Linked DNA regions of Mus musculus. The protein of the gene in region 5 interacts with the protein of the main gene of each other region in a biochemical or structural test. Links are inferred from orthologs where the notes say so. Each region holds a gene or a part of one and is shown on either strand. Other genes may lie near its edges.

Region 1 (3,500 bases), on a different chromosome or scaffold from region 5:
TCTACGTTTCTTATGTTTAAAAGTCACTGACGGCCATTGCTGAGTGCGATCCTTCACATCTAACAAAACGGGCATTCTTAAGTGCAAAGAGGCCCGAAATGTCTCATATTTTCAGGAAAATCTGCAACCCTGACGGGATAACCAAACTGGATACACTCTAGTTTTGCCTGGCTGAGCAACTGGGTGATGAATTTGAGACTATTACAAGTGGCCAGTGGCAGGTTTGTTTTTTTGGTTTTTGTTTGCTTGCTTGTTTGTTCATTCAGAGTAAGTGGCTTGGAGGACATATACGCTGAGATTTTGGCACCTTACATAAGCCCTCACTTAATCCCCAGCATTGTATTGTCCAGACAAGCTACAGTCTTCTCCCACAGTAATTTGCTTTCTTGGTGACAAATGTTCAAACTCTCAGAGGTCCTTCAGATTTCTGGGAACTGATCATTGGTGACTAATTGGGTTGCCTAAAAGTTAGTCTTCTCTGTGATACCCTACTTAGAGGATAACAGGGCACATCTTTATTACCTCTGTTATAATTTGCTCACCAGTGGACTCCACAGAGTGAGCCCCCAGGAGAATGAGTACAGCTGGAAGGAGCCTGCTGATCCTGACGTGACTGACAGAGGCTACCCTTGATGGAAGAGCTTTCTGATGGGCTGCTTAAAAACAAAACTCGACACCTATAAAATTAACCTGGCTTTTAAGGAAACAACTTCTTCTTTATATTGCACAGGGAATTATCTCCTCCACTATCACGGAGGAGACAGGAGCAATTGTAGCCACTTCCCTTTCAAAATCAAGAGAGCACATGTACACCCGTGAGGGAGACGGCTGGGCAACAAGGCAGCATCAATCACTGTTGGGAATTTTACCTAAGTATCAAAATGCACAAAAAAATCCAAAGACTCCGGGGGCTATTGCTGCTCACAGAATGATGTAGAGCGCTCTGTATATTAAAACGGATCTGCAAAGGACACCATTCCACAGTGTCCTTTGGATCACTGTCCCAGTAAGGACACATAGAGAAAAACTATCTGTATTGACGAGTCCCTGGGTACTTCCCAGGGGACTGTTTGTATTAGTGACACTTCTGCCTTTACTCTGCAAAGCTGGAAAAGGGAGATGTGAGTTGAAATTCATATCCTCAGCTGATAATTATTTTGAAATGTGGTCATTTGGTATTTATAAAAAGCAATTTGAAGAAAAATGTCTTCTTTATGCTTCTACATCCTAAACTTTTCAGAGATTGGTAACTAAAGAGCTGTTGTATTTTCTCTCCTGGGGCAGGACTGGAAAGAAGCTAAGATCTGCAGTATAACTTCCTGTCAGCCCCCATGTGGCTAATGAATTAATTCCGTGCCTATATTAATCTTCTTATAGAATGCGAGGAGGAAAAAAAAACAAAACCTGTTTCTTCCTATTAAACTAAGGAAGCCACGTCCTATAAAGCACCTGTTGTACTGAAACCATGGATAAGGACAGATCTTAAATGCTAGGCGGTACTAAATAGAACGGCGTGTATAGGCATTGTGTAATAAATTCAAACTAGGAAGCTGAGAAAAAGTTGTGAAGGCTATCTGTATAGCCTAGCCTGGCCTTGTACTCAAAAATCTCCCCACTTCTCAAATGCTGGGATGACTGGCATGCACCACCATGCCTAACCAGGAAGGCTTAATGGAGCACGGAGTAAATGCCTATGAGATTTAGAAGGGACTCCAAGCATTTAGGGGTTATCTAGCAACCGACCTCTTCTATGGCAAATGGTGTCACATTACATTACATAATTCTGAAACTACCTTTTCCCCTCAGGGTAGCCATGAACCCATTCTTATAATGGATACCTTGCAGTCTGCAGAAATCAGCCTTTTGGCCGTGTGAGTATGAGGGTTACACAGCTTCCGCTGCTTGTGGGGTTGAGCTCTGATCTAACCACTGAAGGATCTTATCCAGCTTGGTTCCTAGTTACGCCCCTGAAAATGACTGTTGGGTTGCCCACGGTGTGTGTCAGCACAGGGCCAACCTCCGAGTTAAGGGTCACAAGGTCACCTCCTTCCCCTACACAGGATTCTCCAGCAAATCCAGACACACCTCTCTTGCAGGGGCAGGGGCAGGGGCTGGAGTGGCTCTTCCATCTGAACACTTCAACCACAATGAAACACTTCTCCTAGTCACCTTCCCCAGTGCAAGGGGAATACTCTCTTTGCCTAATAACTAGATGCTTCTCCAGAAGATCCTCTCTTCTATAAAGGTCAAAAATTCAAGACTGCAAAGCTTACCTTCCACGTGGCTGCATTGCGTCGGAAGTAAGCAAACATTCGTGTGAACCAGTTATAGATTTCGTTTAGTGTTAGCTGCTTTTCTGGAGATTCGAGAATGGCCTACGAGGCAAAAAGAATCCGGAGAAGGTAATTCATCATCCAATAGGCAGGGTCATTCGACAGTGTTCATAAAAATGTAGAAAAAGAAAACCCAACCAAACCGGAACCAAAACTGGAATTTGGAGCAAACTCCTCAGGCAGGTTTCACAAAATGATCGAAGATTAATGGTTGTATTTAAGCAGTTCAGTAGCAAAACTCGAAATGGAATTATCTAATTGTTTGGAGTTTTTATTTCTGTTTCCGTACAGAAATATTAATTTATTAGTCATTCATAAAGCAGAATCAAAGAGAAATGCAAAACATTTCACTAGCTGATTAAAGCTCAGTAATTATTTAGAGCTCAGATTAATTCCAGGGATCAGAGATTACTGTAGCTTTGTGATAATTGACTTGCCATCTTTAAACAGCCTCATTCTCACTGTTGTGTGAAATGAATTCCCTAATAATCACATCGTATTGTAATACTTAATCAAAAGCAATTATGTTATATATTGCAGTTTTTAAAAACCTTATAGAAAAGGTTTTAGCATGCTTGCATACTAAGTGGTTTTAAATCTACTTCATCAATATAATATACCCACGTACACCTTTTGATAGCATTTCACGGTCCATGTTATTTACTTACCTGCCTGATTAAAGATGCATATGTAAATGGTGGTCTAACTTCCGCGTTCTTATAAAATTCTTGGTTCTGCGCAATATCTGCTAAATGAGAATCATTGTCCTATTAATGATCGCTTTTTAAAAAGGGGCTCGTCGATAGGAACTGCAGATTCCCCATGCCGCCCCAGGCAAAGACAGAGAGTAGCTACCTGAAGAAATGGGCACGTTGTATTTGTCTGAGTACCGCCTGCGGATAGGTCCCACCGTGTGCATGCTGGTGGTGGTGATGACGGAGGGGCCTTGGGTGACAGGAGTCAGGGGGGCGGTGGGGGTTGTTGGAGTATGAGGTAAGCTCTGTGGAGAAGCCTCTGAGGCAGACTTGGAGAGGGTGACACTTGATACCAGATTCAGCTGTGAGGAGAAGGATATGGGTTAGAAGAACTTGAGAAAGGCAAAACAAAAAGCACAAATCAAACAACCACAGAAATCCGAGCAACCGTGAAAACCTCTCTTGTCCCAGA
Region 2 (4,250 bases), on a different chromosome or scaffold from region 5:
TCCTCCTCCGTACAGTGGGCATCCCATGTCTCCATATTTCTTCCCCTGGAGGTCAAGAGTAAGGGCTTTAGCATCAGGTCTCAGAGCCAGGGTTGTGCCCTTCACTCCCTCTTGGAGCCTGCTTCCTCAGCTGACAGAGACCAGAGACTGACCTTGCAGGGCTGTTGATGGTTAAGTGACAGCAGGATGGAGATGTGTGGTCCAGCACGAGGCAGTCGACAGAACAGCAGTCACACCATGCTGTGCTACTGCAATGGAACCCATGGCCTCACACAAGTTAGGAAGATCGTGGTCACTGACCTACAGCCGAGCCCCAACAACCACAACCACTGTTACCTACGCGGATAGGAAATGGTCTTTGGCAAAAATTTAAAAATAAAAATAGAAGGGAAGAGTGAGGAATAAATATGATCAAAGTAGGTTTTTTTTTTTGTTTTTTGTTTTTAGATTTATTTATTTATTATATGTAAGTACACTGTAGCTGTCTTCAGACACACCAGAAGAGGGCGTCAGATTTCGTTACAGATGGTTGTGAGCCACCATGTGGTTTCTGGGATTTGAACTCGGGACCTTTGGAAGAGCAGTCGGCGCTCTTAACCACTGAGCCATCTCGCCAGCCCTCAAAGTAGTTTTATATGTACATAAAATTCTTTAAGAATAAGCATGTTAGCATTTTAAAAATCAACTTATATACATAAAAGATTGATGCAGAGCAGCTCTTCCTACAGTGTGTCCTGTGGAAAACACCTTTTCTTAGAGTTGTAGAAAAACAAGAAAAGAGCGAGGCCTGGCGGGTGGGTGTTTGTCCAGTACTTGGGAGATGGAGGCATGAAGATCAGGAGTTCAAAGCCAGCCTGGGGAAAAAAAAAGAAAGGAAACAGTATCTAGTCTGTCTGTTTGAACAATACAGGGCGGATGGGTGTGAAATGGGTTTTTGTTGTTTTAATGCACTGTGAATCTTCAAAAAAAGAAAGACCAGGTAAGCCTAACTGGAATAACGGGGCTACTGGCAGCCCCATTGGATATACTTGGGGGAAATGTCTGGATATGCTGGGTAGCCCTTTAATGTGGACCCTTGCAGGTGCCCCATTTAAACCGTCAGCTTGGCATCGATCCTCATTAGTCCTAACTGATCCTTACCTTGGATCTCGGATCTGTGGGGACTCGGATCTGTAGGCATCCTGGTTAGTGTTTACCAAGCAGGAATCATTATAGCCTTTGGTTTCCTTGAAAAAGCTCCTAGGGGGTCAGGGAAAGGGCTCAGCCCGAAAAGGTGTTTGCCTGACAACCTGAGTTTAACCTCCAGAACCCATGGTGGAAGGAAGGAAGGAAGGAAGGAAGGAAGGAAGGAAGGAAGGAAGGAAGGAAGGAAGGAAGGAAGGAAAGAAACGAGCAAGCAAGCCATTTATGGTGCCTTATGCCTATAATCCCAACCCTTGGAGCTAAGGCAAGAGGAACACCAAAAGTTCAAGGCTAGCCTGGGCTATAGAGACCTTGGATTACTGCAGAGGGCTGGCAGTGTGGCTTGCTTCACTGGTAGAGTACCTGGCTGGCACACACAAAGCTCTGGCTTCCATCCCCCGCTCTGCATACACTGGGTGTGGTTGGGTAATCCTGTAGTGTCAGCACTTGACTACAGAACAAGCTTGAGGTCAGCCAGGACCCAGGAGACTCTCAAAAACCAAAACACCGTCTTGCCAAACTAAATAGCCCAGCACTTGTCATGACCCGATGACCTGAGCTGTCCTCAAATCTCATGATGGAAGAGGAAAACAGAATCCTGAAAGGTTTCCTCTAACCTCCATTTGTAAACTATGGCATCAGACTCGGGTGTGTGTCCAAACACAACAACAACAACAGAGACAGACAGACACTAAACCCAAAACAAAAACAACAAAAAAAGAATTGAAGAGGCTGGGCATGGAGTTACATTCCTTTAATCCTACCGTTCAGGAGGCTGTGTCAGATTGTGAATTAGAGGCCATCATGGGCTACACGGTGAGACTGTCTCAAGGGACAAAACCAGAAAGGAATCCGAGAGCATCAGGAACCACCCTGTTTCTGATGCAGTGTACTCCAGTGTGCGTGCGACACCTAGAAACCTTGAGCACCAAAGCCGGGCATCCCTGAGCAAAAGTGGCCTGAGCCTAGGAACTTCTAACCAGAGCACAGGAAGATCTGAGACCCTGCTCTGCCTGGGTCACAGGAAGGAGGCTGACTTGCGGTTACATGAGTCCCAATCCATCATTTTTGCTACTGAGGCTGTCTGAAGACCCATCCTTTGGTCTGGTGTGAACGAGCTTGGCCAGTAATGTATCCAGAGTGGCACATAGTTCCTAGCTGGCTCTCAGAAGGCTCAGACGCCCAAAAGAGGGGTCTGGGTTTCAGTTCACCCCTGGCTTTCCTAAGGCTTTCCCAACAACCAACTCCCAAGGGGCTGGGCATTTCCCGGAGCAGTAACATGGTGGCAGCCCCAGACATTGAAACTCATTTCTGTCTTTTTTCCCCCATGCTACCTTGGGCCTGGGTCATTTCAGAGGAGCCTCAGGTAAGGTAAGGTAAGCTCTGCAGCTTCCTCCTAGCCAGTCTCAGAAGAGGTGAGGTGGAAGAGCAGAGCCCGGAGTATGGACGGGAGGGAGGGAAGAGACCCACCGAGGTTTTACATCAGCCCTGACATCCACCCTTCCTACAGCTCTACACCCTCGCCGTGATGGGCCCAGGGCCACCAGATCGCCAGCCAGCCCAGATCTCTCGCCGATACTCGGACTTTGAGCGGCTGCACAGAAACCTGCAGCGGCAATTCCGGGGCCCCATGTCTGCCATCTCCTTTCCCCGTAAGCGCCTGCGCCGGAACTTTACTGCAGAAACCATTGCCCGTCGCAGCAGGGCCTTTGAACAGTTTTTGGGCCACCTGCAGGCAGTGCCAGAGCTACGCCAAGCTCCGGACCTGCAGGACTTCTTTGTGCTGCCCGAGTTGCGGCGGGCACAGAGCCTCACCTGCACTGGTCTTTATCGTGAGGCTCTGGCATTGTGGGCCAACGCCTGGCAGCTGCAGACCCAGTTGGGCACCCCATCTGGCCCAGACCGTCCCCTGTTGACTCTGGCTGGGCTGGCCGTGTGCCATCAGGAGCTGGAGGATCCCGGGGAAGCCCGAGCCTGCAGTGAGAAGGCCCTGCAGCTGCTGGGGGACAAGAGACCCCATCCTTTCCTGGCACCCTTTCTTGAGGCCCATGTCCGGCTCTCCTGGCGCCTGGGCCTGGACAAACGGCAGTCGGAGGCCCAGCTCCAGGCACTACAGGAAGCAGGCCTTACCTCTACCCCACCGCCCAGCCTCAAGGAGCTGCTCATCAAAGAGGTGCTGGACTAATTTCCTCCTGTCTTAAGGCCATGCCTAGGAGACAGGCTGGCCCAGGTTAGGGGACAGGGGCTGAGGACACAGCAGCTGGGAGCCTATTGAGTAGTTCCAGAAAGAGTCTGCAGCAGACTGAGGGGAACTTTATTATGCCAGACAGGACTCCGAGCAGGCTTTGGCTGGGGTTACCCTAGGATAACACCAGGAGGAAGTCTTGGCATGGGCTCTTCAGCCTACCACAGCTGGAGGCTGTGGCCAAGGTCAGAATCAGTATGTCTCTGTATCCATGGGCCTCTAAACCAGTGAAACAGTTTGGTGAAGGGCTGGGGACTGCGACTGTAGTCCTGGAAGTCAGAGGCACGGGGAGGGCTGTAGTTCTATTAAAGGTCAGCTACTCCAGTGTTAGCAATCTCTTTATTGTATGTAAGAGGCAGGAAGCCCAGCTCTCAACTGTGACTCCTGCCTCAGAAATGGCAGTGCAAAGTCCTTTTAGCCCCAGGCCGAGCCAGGCATCTTTCACTATAGCTTACTCTCTGACACCTGAGGCTTCAATCGGATCACACCCTCCTGGGCACAGGTCACAGCAAGGACCCCATCCCGACGCCACAGCCGCCCATGCACCAGCCCTCGAGAGCCACCTGTAAGCAAGGAGAAGGTGAGATGGCCCCTGCTTCAGCACAAGCGTGCTTTGCCTGCAAAGGATCTGACACAGGGCAGAGCTGTCCCCATACAACCGCACACTGGAACATCATGATTCCAAAGTGCCAAGTGCCCCTGTGTGAGCCTATTATAGTCACCGGGGGTTGGAGGGATCCTCACACCCCAGCACCACTTGATGGTTTAAAAGCACTTTCACGTATCTGCTCACTTCTCAAAAAGATCAGAGGGGCTCTGACAA
Region 3 (4,011 bases), on a different chromosome or scaffold from region 5:
AGGGTCCCACTGTTACCCAGGTTTATTAGGGTCACTTAAAAATGTTTAAAAAGTGCTTGATAAGCTATGAAGAAAGACTCCGGTTCTTCCTCAGAGACAGGTCAAACAAAACCTGACTGGCCAACGGGGTTCTTATGCCTGGCTCTGGAGGTTCTGTGGTTTTTCCTTTTCTTTAGTGCTGCAGACTGAGCCCAGATCCTCACACATGGCAGGTGATCACTCCCTGACCGAGCCCCGGCCTAGGGCCAGTCTTTCATGGTCCAATGTCTGCTATTTTGAGAACACGCTCACTTTGGCGAGTCTCTTTTTCCACCTCAAATCTGTGAAATCCTCTGGAAAGAATAACTATGGAAGAATTACTCCCATAATGACTGAGAAGTCACCCTTTCCAAGTTCAACTTTCCAGACCTTCTGTAGCAGTGCAGATCCACATATATAGTTCTGCCTGTTGTTCTTTCCCAATATAAACTGGGTACTTTAACTACCCAGACTGCCAAACTATTAACCCTTGTCAGAGTTGATGGACAAGGGATGTCTCATTGTCCTAGACAATTAGCAGTTTACAAATTACTAGTATAGAGCATCCTCGTTTTCCCAAGGGAGACTCCTCAGACTCTTCTTAATCGAAAGGAACTAGGGTTTGCTTATGGAGCTGCGTTGTGAGCCTTGGTGAGAGTGCTAAGTAATATGTATTTCTTCCAATAGAATCTGTGAGAGCAAAGAAATGACTAAAGATGTATTAGGTACCCAAAACTGGTTTAGCTTATTTCTGTAGCAAATAAGAAATACATTTAATGCTTATGGAAAAGTAAAATAATCAAATGACAAAAAAAAATCAAATAGCAAATCTGAGAATAGCTCTTGAAGCATCAGCATCCATAAGACTATGAAGGTTTGATTCATGTGAAAATCACAGCTGCAAAGTAGGCTCAGCATGTTCTTTTGCTGGTAAACCATGGGCACCCCAAATTCCACCAAACTTGCGAGTCAAACAGGATCTGCATAGCAAAAATACCTTTATCTTTTATGTGATATGGATATGGATTTGGTTTATTCATATTAATTTTTAAGGTGCACAGTACTTACACAGACAGTTGTGGATCTCCTTCAAGAAGCTCGAAATGGTAGAAAATTAACCAGATGACTTCCTGGGGTCTCAACCATGATTTTACTAAGTAACAAACTACTGGAATCCCCTCATTGCCAGATTTGGGGAGGTGGAAATGAGGAGGTGAGTGCTAAGATACATGGTGTGTTTCTGGGGTGATGACCATGCCCTAAAATTGGTAGTGGAGATGGTTATAGTCAAAGTGAAGCAGTAGGCTGCACGATGAGTGAGTAGTTGCCTAAAACAGAAGAGATTTGCATAGCTTCGGTATTTTACTACTAAATATTCCTTCATAAGAGGTATGAAATGTTTAACCACCACCAAAAAGTTTAATTAACCAGTTAAACGATTTACAAAAGGCTTACTGTTTTGTAATCTAGAACAGAATGTACATTGTGTACAATGTATCATTGTGTCCTGTTCAGCAATATCTTTCCGAAATACTTTGGACTTGAAAATTTCTAAGTTGTTCAGTTTGTTTCCTTTTATCAAATTAAGAATATGATATTTATAAAAAATAGTTATTTATAAAAATGATTTTTAAAAATAAGAACATTATGAATGCAATAACATAAATTACCATTGGCTTTCATTTTGTCAAACATTGGATGAGAGATTCCTGTCAATCAAAGGCATATATATATATATATTATATATATATATATACATCTATATATTTCATATAGACATATGGATATCTCAATTCTAGTTAGAAATCTCAGTCTCAGAACAAAACACTTTTCCGAGGACATTCACAGAGACAAAGAGCTGCTAGTGTAATTTGGTGTTATACTTATTTTTCAGTCTCCCAACACAAACACATCTTTCAGGCTATTGGAGACCATTGAGTAAATTTAGAGTAGTTTGAGACTTAGCAACGCACTCATCCACACACAACCGTCAAATATTAACTACTTCTGCTTTCATTCTTCAAAATTGACTAAAACATTTATTTTGCTACTCCAAAGATAATTTCATGGGTGTAACACAGTCTTGTTATTTTTATTTCTGGAGCACAAAAGGAAAGAAATATCTAGTACAGCTTCCATTCATAAATTAACATGTGAATTACCTCTCTTTAGAAACATAAATACAAAGTGTAAATATGTTAACCCTGTAAACAGACACACGAAGACCTGCACACACATATATGACACGCTGAGGGAAATGCCTTAAATGCACTCAGATTTAGTTCTAACTCAGTGCCTTTATAATAATAGAGGAAACTCTGCAGGGGCCAACTGCGTGCATTCCCACCCCTCTGCGGTCACGGGGCTGTGAAAAGTCACACGGAGAGTCAGGCTACAAAGGCTCTCTCTAGCTCTGTATAGAGCCTGACATCTCTGCAGAGAACACAGAATGCGGCTTTGCTTCCAAGGGCTGCACAGCCCCGGCGGGGAAAGGAGGAAAAAGCTGGACAGCTCTTGCTTCTCCTACTCAAAGCCAGGCCAGGCAAGGCAAGGGATACAGGGAAGAGGAGAGGCGAGATAGAGGGTGAAACCCAGTGCCGCCAGCTCTAGGAGCTGTCCGGGGTGCTGAAATCCCACTCACCGGCCAGAGCCGCTGCGCCCAGGAGGCCGAGGAGCATAGCCGGCTGCATGGTGCCTCTCGCCAGCTGAGTGTAGGAGGAGCTCGGCGGGTGCGGGCTCCGCAGAGCAGCTGTGGCGCGGTGGGCGCAGGCCTGGCTCTTATGAAGGGCAGGCGGGGTGCAGTACCCGGGGGCGAGCGGCGGGCGGGGGCGCCCCTCGCTCAGCCCTGACGTCACGGAGCAGCCCCGAGGCGGCGCCAGCGGGCGGAAGCACAGCCAGTGTGTGCGGCCTTGCGCAGGGTCCCAGCAGGCACGGGCAGGGATGCGGGGACGCCAGGTGCTGTAGATCTCAGGCAAGAAGGGACAAGGGTCCGGCTCATATTGTCGCGCCTGCGCTCCAGCTCCTCCGCGCACACCTCCGATGCTGCAGTTTGGGGTTGTGGGATACTTGTGATTCTGAAGTGTGTAAATGACGGGGGTCAGCTTTCTGTATCCTCTGCCAAGCTGAAGAAAATCCTTGCTTGGAATAAATACACAGGCGGTTCTTAGACCTTAACAAGAGAGTAATGGCTGTAAACCTCAGTGTGCAACCATGAATGTGTAACCTGCTCTTGGTTGAGATGTTTGGTCAGTGTCTGTGTATCCCATCTATGGCACTTCTGTCTTCTGTTTATGGAATCTCCTACCCGACGTACTTATTCAGATGAACTTAAAAAATCAAACAGGCCAAAGGATACACTTCAAAATTCTCTCTCTCTTTTAACCTCAATTTTTTCCAAGTTCAGTTTTTTCTGTAACTACTTTCTGTGGCTTAGGCCTATTTTAGTTTGGAGCACACATAATTGGTGCTTTTCCTTTCGCTCTCCCCACCCCTCTCCCTCCCCCTCCCTTCCATTCCCATCTCCCTCTCCCTCCTCTCCCCTTCCCTCCTCGCCCCCTTCCTCTCCCCCTCTTTCTCTTGATTGGTCACTTACCCAGCTCTTCTGATAGACATTTATTTAAGCTGTCACCCTTTGGCCCTTAGTTACTCTTTTACAACAGGAGCATAGCTTGGGGTGAGGTAAGGAGTACATCCTTGAAAACCTGTTCTTCTTTGCTTGCTTTTAAATAGAGATAGAAACGCATTTTAAATTATGTGCGCAATGGAGATGATAGCATCTTCCAGGTTATTTTCAACATGGATTCTGTTAGCCTGATAAGGAATTGGGGGAAAAGCGCCAGGCAATCGTCCTGCCCAGAAGAGACACAATCTGCTCTGATAACAGATTTCGAGGACCAGTGAAACCTGACGTGAGATCTTTTTGGTCAGGTGATAAAAGTTTTCAGTTCCTTTTCCTGAAAAGAGTGAGGCTCAAATTCTCTTTGCACATGCTGA
Region 4 (3,500 bases), on a different chromosome or scaffold from region 5:
GGATGTGTGTGGTTTGGGTTAGCGTCCTGACAGCACAGGACACACTGGGCTGTGATTCATTCAAGGGGGAGGGACATGGAAAACAATGTCTGTCTTTAAGCTCCAGGAACCAGGAAAATGAGCTGGAAATAAAGTGATGTGTAATTTTACTAAAATTAACTAGCACATTCCCAGGCTTGCTCTGTGTTTCGTGGTATTTTGTATGATGTTCCATGCCCAGTGCCAGTTGACTGATTTCCTAGGCATGGTCCTGGAGGCCCCCTCTTGGTACCACCTAATTCTGGTCTCTCTGTGCATCTCATCACTGAGGTTGGTGCTTGCCCACGTGAAATGCTGTGGGGATGGAAGGTGGGAGGTGATAAGGACCTGAAGGTTAAAGGGACAAGTGATATTTGCCTGCCTGAGTCTTCTTTCCATCTATAGGGTCTTCCTCAGATCCCCCCACCCCCAGCCCTCCTTGTGTTGGGTTCTTCTGCACCCATTTCCTGCCACAGGGTCTTCTGGGAACCATGATGCTCCCTGGGAGTGTAGAATCGTGTGAAGGCTGTGGATGCACTGTGGTCCACGGGCCAACCCTGGTTCCCCATGAGTCTGCCCACCCCTAGTTTTGTACTCTGATATCTTCCTTTCCCTGTGCAGATGGTCTGCAGCTCAGGGCAGGCAGGATTCCATCTCGCCAGTGGTTTCAGTGCTAGTGTAGGACAGGCAGAGGTGACCAGCAGTGGTGTGGTGGCTTGTGCCTTGAGGGTTGCACTGGAATTCAGGGAAGGACAATATGGCTGCAGCTTCCCTGAGGACTGGCAGGTGGTTATGAATGCTTTGTGGCAAGAGCCAGAGGTGAGCGTGGACAGGCAGTCAGGAACAGTAGATAGAAAGGTGTTGGCTGCTGACATGTGCTCTCTGTAAGGTCAGATTTGCTCTGAGATGAACACAGGGAAGCCACGGAACGATGGGGCTCAGTGGGTGTGGCAGTGTAGTTTTACAACAGTGAGGAAAAGGGATACTGGGTACCCAGGAAGTGCTATGTTACTGCTCACAATTGAAAGTTAAGTGGTGGGCTGGTGAGATGGCTCAGTGGGTAAGAGCACCCGACTACTCTTCCGAAGGTCCAGAGTTCAAATCCCAGCAACCACATGGTGGCTCATAACCATCCCTAACGAGATCTGACTCCCTCTTCTGGAGTGTCTGAAGACAGCTACAGTGTACTTACATATAATCAATAAAATAAATCTTTAAAAAAAAAAAAAAAAAAAAAAAAAAGAAAGTTAAGTGGTCACTAATAAAAGGTGTGGCTGTCACGTGTGTGGTATGACCTTTGGTGGTGTTGCATTTGGCTGGCCCAGCAGGCAGGCATGGCTGCCTTTTGCCCATAGGCACATGACCTGCTTCCCTGATGGCAAAGAACAGGCCAAGCAGGGGCTTAGAGAATAACCTAGAACGTCCAGAAGTCTTGGGAACCATCTTCCACTTTCCTTTCAATTTTAAAGTTGAACAACTCAGCTCTGGCAGTTAGAGGGACAGACTCGAAGGGATTCTAGAATCCCCAAGGGGTTCTAGAATAAGTGGCTGGAGGGAGGACAGAGCTGAGCTTGGAACACCTTGTGTTAGCTGGGCCTTGCGGGCTCTCACGCCATAGCTGTATTGACACTCTCCACAGGCCCGTGTAGCGGCGGCAGCATTGAGCAGCTGGCCTGTGGTCCATGGGGCATTTGCCACATTCAGTGCCGGCATGCACAGCTCCAGGGAGCTGCTGTCCTCTGCTTGTCTGATGCTGTGGCTTCTGGGTACAAGTGCTGCCCACTGGCTGCCATCTTACACACCGAGAAGCAGAGCCATCACACTGGTCATCAGTGTCCTCTCTGGACAGAGGTAGAAATGGCCTCTGCTGCTTAGGAGCAAACATCACTGTGGTCCCTCTCCAGAGCTGGCTTATAGGATTGCACCATTTCTCTGGGTCATTCCCACCCTTCAATGACCAACTGTGCCCAAGCTGACCATGAAGTAGATCTCGTGTGTAGGCAGGCAGCAGCATCTGCCTGCAGGAAAGGAGGGAGGCCACAAAGCCAGCTTCGCCCGCAGGTGCCTCTCCTATACTCAGGGCGTGGTTCCTCAACTCACCTGTTGGTCCTGCCCTTAGCGTTAGTGTAGGAATGTCATGGAAACACCTAGGAGAAAGCACATGGCTCCTCCCCAGGGCCCCCTTTGCCCGTCACCCCCCTCTGAGCATGACCCTGTCTTTCAGGAATAAGACTGTCAACGGAGACTGCCGCAGAGATCCCCGGGAGCGGAGCCGCAGTCCCATTGAACGGGCTGCAGCCCCCGCCGTGAGCTTGCATGGTGGCCACCTGTACGCATCTCTCCCCAGCCTCATGGAGCAGCCTCTTGCCCTGACTAAGAACAGCAGTGACACAGGCAGGTCAGCTGTGGAGCGGCAGCAGGTATGTATATGTCATCTGGAGGTGGCCATATCAGGCTGGATGTTGGGGACTAAGAGCTCCATGGAGAACCCCGAGCAGAAGTCCTGAAGTGAGGGGATGTTGGTACCCTCACTCCTTTGGCTTCCTCTCTGCACAGTGCAGGGTTGATCTGGATGAGTGCCTGGCCCTGGCTTGGATGCCCATCTTCCCTGGCACTGTGTTCCTCGGGGTCAGTGTAGCAATCCTCTTGAGAGGCCGGCCCTTCCCCCATATGATTTCATAAGGCCTAAGTTAAATGTCAGAGCGTTGCTGGGGGCTTGGGTCCTATAAAGTTAGTGGTCATAAACCTGTGAGTAAGGCAGGCCATTGTTGTTATTGCTATTACTTCTACTAGAGGAAAATGAAATTAATGCTATTTAAAAAACAAGGCCAGGCCTAATAGTATAGGCATATAATCTCAGGTACTTGGAAGGCTGAGGCAGGAGGATTACAAGTTTGAGGCAACTTCATAAGGCCTTGACTTACAAAGAGCAAGATAGGTAGAGGGAGACTGAGGACATGGGCACTTGCCTAGTGTGCGAGGCTTCAGCCCCACATAAAAAGCCCCAGAGACAACAAAAGGGTAAGGTTTCTAACAAAGACTGTAGTAAGAGACTTTAAAAGCACACAGGCAGCATGAGAGGGAGGGGTGGGGTGGAGTGTTTCTGTGGGGTGGAGTGTTTCTGTCCCCTGTGTGACCCTTGATGGACTCTGAGCCTCTGGGCCTGTGATTCCTAGGTTTCTGGTCAGTGTTTGTACACACTAACAGGGGAGGGTGGGGCCTGGCCATTAGGAGATGCTGTGTGTTGGGGCTCACCTGCAGGTGCTGGAGAAGGGGACCCCACCCCAGTCTAGTCTCCCCCTCTCGACCTGCTGTTGTGTAGCACAGAGGGCCCGAGGAACAGGGAAGGTCCCTGGCCTGAGAGCTGGGCTCGCTGGCAGCTCCGCTCAGTAGATGAGGAGTTGACCTGTTCTCCCTCCCACAGAACCGGCCCTCTGTGATTACCTGTGCATCCGCGGGTGCCCGCAACTGCAACCTCTCTC
Region 5 (3,500 bases):
GCCACCTTCATGTACATGCTGCCCTGTGGGAAGCAGTCGGCCTTCTTCTCATCCCAGAGCCAGGAGTACACTGTGGTGTTCTGGGATGGGAAGGAGGAGTCCAGGTAATCTCTTCCCCTGTCCTTCCCTGCACACTGGGAACAGAAAGCAGCGATGCCGGTGGGGTGTATTATTGAGCAGACAGAAGAATGCAAAGCCTGGTTGTAGTACATTCAAAAGAGAAGAAGGGCCAGGTGGGGGTGGCAGAGGCCTTTAATCCCAGCACTCAGGAGACAGAGGCAGGCGGATCTCTGAGTTCAAGGCCAGCCTAGTCTACAGAGTGAGTTCCATGACAGCCAGAGCTACACAGAGAAACCCTATCTCAAAAAAGAGGAGGGGCACAGGTCTGAAGCTAAGGGAAGCAAAGAAAAGGTTGGATGTGTTGGAAACCCAATTCCAGGAAGAGAGGGAGAGTGTTGCTTCGAGATGAAGTTAGCCACATTCTGAACACGGACATTAGATGATGCTGAAGGTGGAAGGGTGAGCAGCCAATGGGGTGGGATTACGAAGCCAGCAGACCAGAGCCGAAGGAAGGCAGGAGGCTGTAGCAGAAGGGTCGCTGTCTAATAATTGGCTGTGGGGCAGTCTCTTCTGGTTTCAGCTCTTTTTCATAGAAAAGTGGCAGGAAGTGAGAATGGGGAATGAGATATCTGAGAAGAAAAGAGAAGGTCCAAAATGGTCACCATGATCTGGGGAGCCAGGGTGCCTGCAGGGAAGTACAGAGACCCACTGTAAGTTACAAAGAAACCCACCAGCCTGGCTATGTGACTTCTGCTCACTCCAACTCCTAAGACTGAAGATGGCTGAAAACCTGACTGTTTCACCAGGAAGGAGAGAGGAAGCAGGATGTGAGGGTCTTTCAATGGGGCATTTAGAGAGAAGGCTCGTAGGACCTGAGACGGTAAAGTAGGGAGAATACACAATGGCCCTAGAAGGTCCCCAGCTAGATATGACTCAAGGCAGAGTAAGCTAAAGATCCAGGAGAGGGTCAAGAGGCAGTTGACGGTCAGCATCGTGTGGCCAGAGAGCAGTCAGTAGTAGAAGGCAAGAGGTCTGCTGTAGGGAAGACCCACTAGGAGGAAGAAAGAATTCCTGAGACCCAGAGGCATGGGAAGGAGAGTGGCAAGAGACGAAATCTCCATGGAATGGAGGTTTTGTGTGATGGCCTTTAGGGTTGTCCGGTGCAGGCTGCCCCTTCTGCCCCCAACACGAGAGCTTTGCAAGTTAGTGTAGTCTTCAGATGCTCTCAGTGGAGAGCATTTACAGGCCTCACAGTCTGCGAGAGGAGGCTTAGACGACGTGAGAGTTGACTAGGGTCGGATCAGCAGAATGGACTCTGACATTTGCATGGATCTGAGGCTCTTAAGCTGTCAGTGGGGACATGGACAGAGGGAACATAAGTTCACAGTTCCAATTCTTTGCATTGGAGAGGACCAAAGGAATGTCACTGGCACTCCGGGATCTAGACATAGTCTCTAAGTACCAAGGAGAAGCAGGGTTTATCAAATGGCTGTCTCCAGGACTGGGCCTGGAACATTTGACACAAGAGAAGCAAGGAAGCAGGCAGAGGCTTCTGGGAGCATCTTAATGGGACCCCGGAGTCAGCCAGGTCTGCAGATGCTGGGACAGACCCTCTCTCACCCACCTGAAGATGTTTGCTTTCCCTTCATCACAGACGTGAGCAGGATGCTGGAGAGAGTTGGACCTGGGGGGAAAAATGATCTTTTCCAGTAAGAAGAAAGTGTCCTTAAAAACTCCCACCAAAGAAGGGAGAGTGAGGCAGAGGGCTTCTACTTGGGCACACAGAGCAGGGAACCTGGAGAGAGAGAAGATCAGATGCCCAGACTGATCCGTGGAAGAAGAAAGGAAAGAAGGCAGGAAAACCAGGGCAGCACGACACTACTATGGTTAGACTCTGGTCTTTTCTCCGTAGTTTTTATTTTTCTTACAAAGTGTCATTAATTTTTTTTCAATACATAGGAGGAAAGACTAAAATGAATAGACAGAACTTTGAAGGAAGTTTAGTTTGCAAGTTTTGTATCCATTTTTATCATCTGCAGTCGTTTGGTGTCAGTCAGGGATGGAGAAAGCCTTCTAAAACCTGGCTCCAGGAAAGAACTCATAGTGTGGCTCCTGTCCATTGCTCCACTTCCTCTCTGACCGGGAGAAAGAGCTGTGCGCTCTGGGGAGTGCGGCTAACCAACTAAACACTCCTCTACTTGGCTTCACTCCCTTCTCCATGCAAAGGACACTGGGGACATGTGGAGGGGCAGTGGTGCTGGACACATCCTGGCCTGTGAGCCAAGAGCTTGCTCTCCTCACTAACTGTGAGCTGTTCTCAGAGTACCCAGGTTGGAGGTGTGTCTTGAGCTCCATCCATTCAAGTGTAGACTTTGCACATCTTATCTTTAGCCTGCAGCTGTCTACTAAGCTCAAGAGGCTGCCTCTGTTTCTGTGATGGGTGGCCTCTGGTCAGTGGGAGAGCAGTGAGCAGACCAATGGAGGTGCCCTTTGTCATCATGTTGGGATGGTTGCATGAACCCTTGGAGGTCACAAAAGGAAAGGAGGCTGGCTTCCTGTTGGAATGCCCTTTCTCTTCCATGTTCAAGCCTTGCATAGCAGGCAAACCCAGATGTACCCAATGGCATGAAGGCTGGTCCTTGAGTCTCTCAGGATGTGGCAAGGTGTGCGTCTGATTTCAAGAGGTGAACAGGGTAGCAGACAGCGTCCTTTGTGTGTAGTTACCTTTGTGTCACTGTGGGCAAAATAACTGACAGAAACAACTCAATAGTGGATAACTGATCCAGACTCACTGTGTCCAGTCCCTGCTGTCTCAGCCCCCTGCCCTTGGGGGGAAAAGCACGGTGGCAGAGGCTCTTTTACTTCTGGGAAGACAAGATGCAGAGAGAGGAAACAGGAGAGACAGAGAAGGTGGGGAGGGAGACCGGGGTCCTGATAGATCCTTCAAGGCCCTGCCACCAATATCTCATCCCCTCCAGCTAGCCTCGCCTCCCAATGTTGCTAGAACCTCTCAAAATAGTGCCTACATCTGGGAACCAAATCTTTAAAACATGAACCTGTGATAGACCCTTCATGCTTAAAGGATTACCCCTGTTCCAAGGCCATTCCACCAGCCTGGGGAAGGAGGTGCCCCTGGCTATCTGAAACTAACTATATGTCGTTGCTAACCACAGGAATTACACGGTGGTCAACACAGAGAAGGGCCTTCTGGAAGTACAGAGGATGACCTGCCCCGGGATGAAGTTGAGCTGTCAGCTCAAGGTCCAGAGCTCAGTGTGGATAGCCACGGAGGTAACTGCCAGCCTCCAGGGTCCGTGTCAGGGTGAGCGTTAGAGGGGGACAGTTCCCAGGGGGACCAGACTTGTAAAAGTACAAGATGTCAAGATCAACTTGTCCCTGAGCGATCCCTAAAATAATGTCATCGATCCTGTGAGGTAGGT
Region 6 (3,500 bases), about 64 Mb from region 5:
GGTTTGAGGAGGGGGCTCCTGTGGGGGCTGGGACTTCGAAGAACGAACGTTCAAGTTGAGTCAGCCTGGGGCACTGGCCATCTTCCTCATTCAGCTGGAGCTGAGGTACTCCTGGGTAGTGGCTAGTAGAGACAGTGGGCCCAGCACTCTGCTTCAAGACCTACTGGGACCTGAGATTGCAAAGTTGCTGGAGAGGGGAGTTTACCTGCATTCTGAAAGTTCTTAGGAAATCAACGAGAATGTTTGTGCACTTTCCTTTGACTGGTATGTAGAAATAGACAAGGAATTATCTTTTGTGACTCTTGGCTTTAAGAAGAAAGAAGACTTGGGGGAACAAAAATCCTTCCAGCCAACTAAAAACACTGGGCACCTAACTGCTCATATACCCCTGGCTTTTGTTGTTAGCTATACCATTCTACCTGTGCTTAAAAAAACAACCAAACAGCAGCTTCCTATTCCCCTCTTGGAGATGGTACGTCCTCTCTGCCTTAGTCTCAGTGAAGGCTGAAAGGAACAGATTTTAGGACGGAGGTTCTGGCAGTGTCGAAATCCTGTGTCATAATTGAAAGCATCAAAAGCGCACGGGATTAGAATTCTTTTTCTCTTTCTCTCTTTTTCATTAAAACGCTCACCCATCCCCAGTCTCATAAAATGGGCATCCCAGCATCCAAAGCCCATGGTTTTGTGCGATCCTTTCCTGCCATTGGTTTCAGCAGATTCTCTAAAGCTCGTGCATTCTGACTCAAAGATTAGTCACTGAAGACACTGAACAAACATAAAGTTATTTGTACTGTGGTAAGCTTTTTTTTTTGGGAAATTCTCTGCTTTGGATCTAGTAAATTGAGTGCCCCCTTGTAACTGATACTTGGGAGGTTTAGCCAATAGGTTAGCGTATTGAAAGTTCCCAGGCCAATCACATACCAGGGCAGCTTGTACGTATCATCACCATTACTAATAAAATCTTGAATTATTCATCAAGGGTTGTATCTTTACCCCTTTGACGTCGGTTGCAGATATTTAGTTAGTATGCCTGTACACTGCCTTGTAGTCAGTGGAAGGGAATTCAGGCTTTGAATCCCCCGGTTGGATTAAACTCACTCTTTGTAAGTGGCTGCTTGGCGGAAGATTGAAATACACGCCTGCATTCGAAAATGAATTCTGACAAGTGTAAACTGGTGGGAATGTTTTTGAAGCCTTCCTGAGATTCTTTGATTCTGTTGGTCTCCTTTCTTTCTGAGAACCGTTCTGAAGCGAGGACGTGCCGCTCAGCTCAGCTGAAATGCGGTTCTCAGAGCAGACCCTTCCTCCAGTCAGCGTCTTAAAGGCCAGCTGGAATAAGAGACGTTAATGAGGCTGGCCATGCCAAGCCCAGCGTTTTAAACTCAGGTTTTTCTGCAGTTGCCCTTGAAAGGAATGAAGGTCAAGTTGCTTCAGCAACCTTGCAGCTTTGATAGTGGACGGAAGGGCACGCTGCAGAGCTGGGTGGCTGGGTCCTACAGTGATGGTTTATCTTGCGTCTCTTAAAAGTAAGCTTAAAAAAAAAAAGATTAGCCTACTGCAGCTTGTGGACTAGCCTGGAAACACCTGGGACGCTGAGGTGAGGATGGAAGGCTTTTCCGATAATGAGAAAGAATGTGTTTGCGAATGTATTGAGAGGCTGAGAAATGGTTTTATCCCATCTGGGTTTAAGCAAGTTGGCACTGGGGGAAAAAACTGAATCTGGCTGAATCTCTCTCTTTCAGTGGCAGCCACAGCAGCAGCAGCAGCAGCAGTGGGAGCAGGAACAGCAGTAACAACAGCAACAGCAGCACAGCCGCCTCAGAGCTTTGGCTCCTGAGCCCCCTGTGGGCTGAAGGCATTGCAGGTAGCCCATGGTCTCAGAAGAAGTGTGCAGATGGGATTACCGTCCACGTGGAGATATGGAAGAGGACCAGGGATTGGCACTGTGACCATGGTCAGCTGGGGGCGCTTCATCTGCCTGGTCTTGGTCACCATGGCAACCTTGTCCCTGGCCCGGCCCTCCTTCAGTTTAGTTGAGGATACCACTTTAGAACCAGAAGGTAAGTTCATGCGTGCCATTTTAAGGGTACCAAGTCGTTTTGGGGATGTGTCTGGGGGAAGTGGTCTTTAAGTGGGAGGCCTGTTTCAGCCGGCTGCCATATGAGTAGTCTCTCTCCGCATCATATCGGAGCTTAGAAGGGAGGGTCTTGTCTCCCAGGCATGAGTGGAGTGGTTTGGTTTGCTCTGTTCTTTGTGCTTGGGTGAGGGAAGCAGTGGCAGTTCTTGTTTAGCCAGTGCCTTACAGCACTCTGGAGGGGACGTACCTTGGCAGGGTGACTGTGGCCTTCTGCAGTTGCTCTCTAGATTGAGGGAAAAGCCTTGAATCACACTATCTTTTGGCTAAAGGAAATAGGCAGCCTCTGAAAGCTGACTTTTTTTTTCTTTTTCCGCATTGTTTAAGAGAAAAGAAGGTTCTGAAGTTGAGCATGGAGAGCCGTGCCATGCTGGATCGGTTTTTAAGCTGGTGTAAGCTCTTTGTGCTTTCACCCGGCATCACAGAGTGGGCAGGTTTCATGTTGGGAAGATTGGAAAGTGAATTTGCCAAGAGTCTTCCCCCATCTGGGGAAAAGCCAGATTTCACTAGTGTGTTTGGCTTTGCACACTTGGTTGCAAATGTGAGAAGCTAGTTGTGAGGAGGACGTGGCTGAAATCCGGAGCTGGGCAAAGCGCTGGTCCTTCTCCCAGGTCCTTCAGAGACGTGGTCTGTGGCCAAGCCTCTCTCCTTGGTGCCGCACGGGAATCTGTCATCAGGAGGGAATATTGGTAGGCGAGTTATTTTTTGAGTGGTAATCCGAGCGTGACACTGCAGATCGCAGCACTCATCGCCACTTAATGAACGTGTTTGCTGAGGGCCCACCTGGTGCCGGCTGGCTTTGGAGTCCGTCACGGTCCTGAGTGCTGGCAGGTCAGCTGAGTTGCTGTGGCTATGCACACTGAATCAGGGTCCTGATTCATCCAGATCATCCAGAGGGGGATTGTAGGAGGGACAGGACCCCTCCCCCAAGGGTGACCTCAAGGAGGGCTATGTACCCATCTGAGAGGAGGGCTTGAGAAATGGGTCCCCAGTAAGATCCACCCAGACAGACACTCTCCCTGGCTTTGTGTGTATGTCGGGCCACACAGATGCCTGGAAATGTTATAAATTACCAGGTATCTTTGGAAAGGAAATGAGGTAGGAGTTTTGTGCATGAGGTGTGTTCAACATACAGCCTCACGTCCTTTTCCGGAACCACCTCTCTGTGACTTATCCTGTGACGTCAGGGAGAGTGTAATCTGCAACAGTGACATGTTTTCAAAGGGCTTAATGTGAGGGGGAAAGGATTGGGTTTCTGAAAGTCTGGTCTGCACTTCTTTAATTTTGTTAATAATTAAAATGGATGTCCCCCTAATTGCCGGTTGTCCCTGGAGTGTGTGGCTCAGCACTAACTAAGGAAGCTGAG
Region 7 (4,242 bases), on a different chromosome or scaffold from region 5:
GTACTGGTGGCACCCCCTCAGTGTTACGGTCGGCATCATGGAATCATGGAGAGGTTGGCAGGATCAAGACAGCGCTAGTCAGCATGTGGGCTCTCACAGAAAATGGTCTCCCAGGATCAGGAAAGTATCCAGTTGGTACCCTTGCCTCCTGGGCACTCTGGTCCTTTTCTCCAGGAGATTGAATGGCGTGAGTTCTGAAAGTCCCCTGGGTACTTGTGAGGCCTGTTCTGGCAGCAAAGTAGGTCCACTTGGCTTCAGACACATTTTTGGCACAGACACATTTTTGGGTTGATTAGCACGAAAAGTGTGTGACATCCTGGCTGAGAGGCCTGTCACAGGCACAGTCATGGCACTGTTTTTTTTTTTTTTTTCTTTTGCTTTTCGAGACAGGGTTTCTCTGTATAGCCCTGGCTGTCCTGGAACTCACTCTGTAGACCAGGCTGGCCTCGAACTCAGAGATCCACCTGCCTCTGCCTTCTGAGTGCTGGGATTAAAGGCGTGGGCCACCACGCCCGGCAGGTGATAACTTTTGTCATGGATCTAGCTATCCGGTACAGTCTGCTTAGAAGCCAAGAGACCAAACTTTGGAACCAGGCAGACCCTGACTGAGTTGAGTCTTCTGGTTTCCACCATGTGACCTTCTGGAGTGTCTGTTCTCACATGAAGAATCTGGGTCATGATATAACTTTCCTCACAGGATTAGGTGCACGCACCCTCTGGGTACCAAGGCACATGGAGCACTTCTCAGAGAACCATCCTGGGACAGTCAGCTCTTCAAGTGCAAGGATGGGGACCAGACTTTTAGTTATGTGACATTATTTCATAAGTTTATTTTTCCCTTGTCATTGGAACTTGGGTGAGTTTTTATTAGATTTGTTGTAGTTGGGGTCCTTGTTTCCCACCAACTTAGTGCCAGTAGTCCACTGCTGTGACCATTGCTTAGTTAAAATCTTGTTGGTAACCTCGAGCTAGCGTTTAGGAAAACAAAAACTCACCGTGAAATGGATTCAAACATTACCTGTGGCACCAAAAACAGGGGAAATTCTTGTAAAAATGAGGTCAGGAAGGACCGCCATTCCAGCCCACAATGAACACGCACCATAGAGACATTTCCCTAAGCTTAAACTCACAACTCCAGGTCTAAATGGGTGGTTGGACCCGCGTCCGGTATTCGGTATTCCTGTGGGTTCCAGCCCTGACTGTTCACATTCCTCAGATACCCACTTTAGGTTTAATCACAGTCGCTCCCCGAGACCAGTCCTGGTAACTTGAGAGGAATTTGCATTTCCACCGACCTTCCCGGACACGCGGCAGGGGCAGGGGCTACGCCAGCGCAGCTACGCAGCTGGGGAGGGCGTGGAGCCTTCCCTTGGCCTGGAAGGGGTTAAGGGACGGCTGGGGCGGGGCGCTGGGCCCTTTGTTACCGGCCTAGGCGGGAGGCGGGAGGCGGGACGCGGGCCTGGGCGCGGGCCTGCTGGGAGCGCGGCCTGGCGGGGCTGGGGGCCCGGGGTGGTGGGGCCTTCGCCGTGGCCACGGGACCATGTTGGAGATCTGTTTGAAGTTGGTGGGCTGCAAATCCAAGAAGGGGCTCTCTTCGTCCTCCAGCTGCTACCTGGAAGGTAAATCCTGGCCTGGGCGCGGGGCCCACCAGGACTGTCCTGCCCGCCCGTGCCCTGTGTGTTCTAGGTCCCCAGTCTTCTCCCTCTGAGGCCTCTGCGGGTGCTGGTGGCTCATTCGGACTTCCAGAAAGAGAGAGAGAGCCGCGGCTTTGGCGCTGGCGGGGCCCAAGCGCATAGTGTGGCTCCTGCCCAGAAAGTTTGAAAAAGTCAGTGCCACAGGCCTTAAGGTCCTTGTGAGCCCACGTTGTGGTGTTTCCACTGCCAACTGGGAATTGTATGTCACAAAGGTGGACCTACACCAAGTGCCGCGTACAAAGGGATCCCGCTCTACCATTTATGGGTACAGAATTTCATGTGAACTTTCCACCCCCACCCCCACCTTTCTGCAGACCATGAAGAGGTCTTGGGGATTGTCTCTTTTTAGAAGAGAAAGAATGGTTTTGCTTGTATTTCCAGGAGTTTTGAGAGCTTCCAGTTTGATGCTTGGTGAGGGAGCCCCTCATGTTTTGTTCTTTGCATAAACTTAGAGCCAGGAGCCTGTTGCTTTTGCCTGCTTTACCCTGCTCCTCCAATTCCATGCCTCCTTCCTGTTGTCTTTAGTGTTTGGGTCTAAAAGGATGGCAAGGGAAAAGGGTGAGTGGTGAGTGCTGGGGACTCGGCTGTGGCCAGGCCTGTTAGAGTATAGCTGACCTTTGTGGGGACTGCTGCCTTCTTCAGAAGGGCAGAAGCACTCACAGATGTGTGGTGCCCTGGCTTTTCTGGCTGTTTCATGTAAGAGTTAAGATAGGAGTAAAAATGTAAAGTTTTCTTCAGAGCAATTTGGATTTCTACTGTTTTGAATTGTAAAGAATTGAAGGCTTTTCAATATCTAACCTGCTTCCCCGACCCCCCTTCCAAGTCTTTGACTCAAAGACCTACAGGGCCCCACATGACCCAGCTCAGACTTAGGTGCCCAGCTCGGGTAGAGGATGTTCTCCCTTTGCTAGAAGGGAGTATAAGGGACTTCGCTATAAGTCACAGTAAGATTTCAGCCCCTCCGGGGATTTCAGGGCCTGGATTCCTGAGAGGAGCTTGGTGTGGATGGCATGAGCTCAGGGCCTACCACTTAGAGGGAGGGAGATGGTTTATTTGTCCCCAGAGTTGGCATCTGAGCGGCCAGAATCATCCTCAGTTAATGCGTTGCTTATTTTTTCCAAGTTGCTCCACACTCTCCGCACATTTCTCCTCCCCATCTGTATCCAGTTAGTGAGAGGCACTATCTCCATTTTGAGCCGCTGGAGGCGGAGATGAATGGACTTTTGTAACTGCAGAGTTGGGGCATGTCACAGCTTTGCTAAGGTATCAGCTTGTTCCTGGGGTAATGTGGGATTTAGTGCAGAGCTGTTGGTTTAATTCTTGTTTTAGAAGGGGGAAAAAATCCATTCTTATTCCAGCATAATCCTTAAGGTGAATTCTAGCATTGCCAAGTTCCAAAGGAGTGCTGTCCTCACTTGGGTTTTGTAGGCCTTCTCCAGGAAGGTGTCTCTCTAGGAGCTCTTTCTGTTCACTGAGTTCAAAAAGGTAGACGGAATTCTTGTTGTGTAGCTGACGGAATCAAGCTAGCCTCGGTGTAATTATGTCTTGAAGACGGAAGTGCTGTCTGTCTCTGGGGAAGAGAGCTGTTGCCAGAATCTGGGGAAGTAATCTGGGCCTTCATTTCTTGCTTACATCCTAAATCAATCAATCAGTTCATGACACCCACCCAGAGGCCTGGGCCTCACAGGCCAGGAAGAGAATTGAGTATGGTGAATTTTCCATTATTACCAAATGCATGCTCCCTGCTGCTGTGCAGAGAAGGCCTGGTCAGCACAGACAGCAGCAGCAGTTAGATGGCCTTAGTGGGCCAAGCATTGTCTGCATTCCACATGCCCTCACTTTCTGACTTCTTATGGTGGCCCTGATTATCTCATCTTGTAGATAAGAAACTGAGGCACCAAAAAAGGTTAGGTGACATCTCTGAGATGACAGAATCAGCAGGTGGTAGTCCCAGGATTTGAACTTGTGCTATCTGGCTCCAGGGAATTGCACAGAGAGAGAGAAAGGGGGAGAGGGGGTGGAGAGAGAGAGAGAGAGGGAGGGAGGGAGAGAGAGAGAGAGAGAGAGAGAGAGAGAGAGAGAGAGAGAGAGAGAATGAATGTTGGGTATTGGAAGCCAGGGCCTTGAACTACACCCATAGGCCCTTGCCAACTTTTGAATTTTGAGACGGACTTGCCAAGTTGTCCAGTCAGGCTGTGAACTCAATAATCTGTAAACGTAAAGAGACAGGCTTTGCACTTGGCATTTTCTTGCCTCAGCCTGCTGAGCACCTAGGATTTCAGGCTTGCACCCCAGCACCTGGCCCAGAAAGCCCATTCTTAGCCTGTCTGTGCTAATAATGGATCATTGGTCTGCCGTGGCATTGTTCTCCCGTGGAAAACACTATGGATCATTCAATACTGTCTTTAGAAATGCCCAGCTAGGGCCTAAACTGTACCAGTCTTTTCCTTTCTGCATCAGGTAATAGTAATACACCTGCTTTCATAAAGCAACAGGACCAGGAACATTTTTTAAGCAAACATAAAAATACTTGTAAGAAAATTCTGAA

Evidence for each region.
Region 1: the proteins of Lrrk1 (region 5) and Foxp1 form a complex in vitro, tested with the Homo sapiens proteins (2 studies listed by BioGRID and IntAct, with this or other methods). The link is inferred for Mus musculus from reciprocal best matches to the Homo sapiens genes LRRK1 and FOXP1.
Region 2: the proteins of Lrrk1 (region 5) and Snx21 form a complex in vitro, tested with the Homo sapiens proteins (2 studies listed by BioGRID and IntAct, with this or other methods). The link is inferred for Mus musculus from reciprocal best matches to the Homo sapiens genes LRRK1 and SNX21.
Region 3: the proteins of Lrrk1 (region 5) and Chgb form a complex in vitro, tested with the Homo sapiens proteins (2 studies listed by BioGRID and IntAct, with this or other methods). The link is inferred for Mus musculus from reciprocal best matches to the Homo sapiens genes LRRK1 and CHGB.
Region 4: the proteins of Lrrk1 (region 5) and Vgll4 form a complex in vitro, tested with the Homo sapiens proteins (2 studies listed by BioGRID and IntAct, with this or other methods). The link is inferred for Mus musculus from reciprocal best matches to the Homo sapiens genes LRRK1 and VGLL4.
Region 6: the proteins of Lrrk1 (region 5) and Fgfr2 form a complex in vitro, tested with the Homo sapiens proteins (2 studies listed by BioGRID and IntAct, with this or other methods). The link is inferred for Mus musculus from reciprocal best matches to the Homo sapiens genes LRRK1 and FGFR2.
Region 7: the proteins of Lrrk1 (region 5) and Abl1 form a complex in vitro, tested with the Homo sapiens proteins (2 studies listed by BioGRID and IntAct, with this or other methods). The link is inferred for Mus musculus from reciprocal best matches to the Homo sapiens genes LRRK1 and ABL1.

The regions. Positions count from the first base shown.
Region 1 is NC_000072.6:98,942,346-98,945,845, forward strand, and holds part of Foxp1 (forkhead box protein P1), read right to left. Parts: intron 3,391-3,500; coding exon 3,189-3,390; intron 3,082-3,188; coding exon 3,002-3,081; intron 2,376-3,001; coding exon 2,274-2,375; intron 1-2,273. UniProt on the Homo sapiens protein: Transcriptional repressor. Can act with CTBP1 to synergistically repress transcription but CTPBP1 is not essential. Plays an important role in the specification and differentiation of lung epithelium.
Region 2 is NC_000068.7:164,789,021-164,793,270, forward strand, and holds the end of Snx21 (sorting nexin-21), read left to right. Parts: intron 1-2,521; coding exon of another isoform or gene 2,522-2,553; exon of another isoform or gene 2,554-2,558; intron 2,559-2,692; coding exon 2,693-3,367; 3' UTR 3,368-3,750; downstream 3,751-4,250. Other genes in the region: Acot8 (acyl-coenzyme A thioesterase 8), read right to left, coding at 3,872-3,990. UniProt on the Homo sapiens protein: Binds to membranes enriched in phosphatidylinositol 3-phosphate (PtdIns(P3)) and phosphatidylinositol 4,5-bisphosphate. May be involved in several stages of intracellular trafficking.
Region 3 is NC_000068.7:132,780,431-132,784,441, reverse strand, and holds the start of Chgb (secretogranin-1 precursor), read right to left. Parts: upstream 2,801-4,011; 5' UTR 2,709-2,800; coding exon 2,660-2,708; intron 1-2,659. UniProt on the Homo sapiens protein: Secretogranin-1 is a neuroendocrine secretory granule protein, which may be the precursor for other biologically active peptides.
Region 4 is NC_000072.6:114,862,822-114,866,321, reverse strand, and holds part of Vgll4 (transcription cofactor vestigial-like protein 4), read left to right. Parts: exon of another isoform or gene 1-1,729; coding exon of another isoform or gene 1,730-1,869; intron 1,870-2,242; coding exon 2,243-2,438; intron 2,439-3,442; coding exon 3,443-3,500. UniProt on the Homo sapiens protein: May act as a specific coactivator for the mammalian TEFs.
Region 5 is NC_000073.6:66,266,342-66,269,841, reverse strand, and holds part of Lrrk1 (leucine-rich repeat serine/threonine-protein kinase 1), read left to right. Parts: coding exon 1-104; intron 105-3,233; coding exon 3,234-3,351; intron 3,352-3,500.
Region 6 is NC_000073.6:130,260,309-130,263,808, reverse strand, and holds part of Fgfr2 (fibroblast growth factor receptor 2), read left to right. Parts: intron 1-1,742; 5' UTR 1,743-1,894; coding exon 1,895-2,060; intron 2,061-3,500. UniProt on the Homo sapiens protein: Tyrosine-protein kinase that acts as a cell-surface receptor for fibroblast growth factors and plays an essential role in the regulation of cell proliferation, differentiation, migration and apoptosis, and in the regulation of embryonic development.
Region 7 is NC_000068.7:31,758,497-31,762,738, forward strand, and holds the start of Abl1 (tyrosine-protein kinase ABL1), read left to right. Parts: upstream 1-1,442; 5' UTR 1,443-1,540; coding exon 1,541-1,619; intron 1,620-1,676; exon of another isoform or gene 1,677-1,895; coding exon of another isoform or gene 1,896-1,959; intron 1,960-4,242. UniProt on the Homo sapiens protein: Non-receptor tyrosine-protein kinase that plays a role in many key processes linked to cell growth and survival such as cytoskeleton remodeling in response to extracellular stimuli, cell motility and adhesion, receptor endocytosis, autophagy, DNA damage response and apoptosis.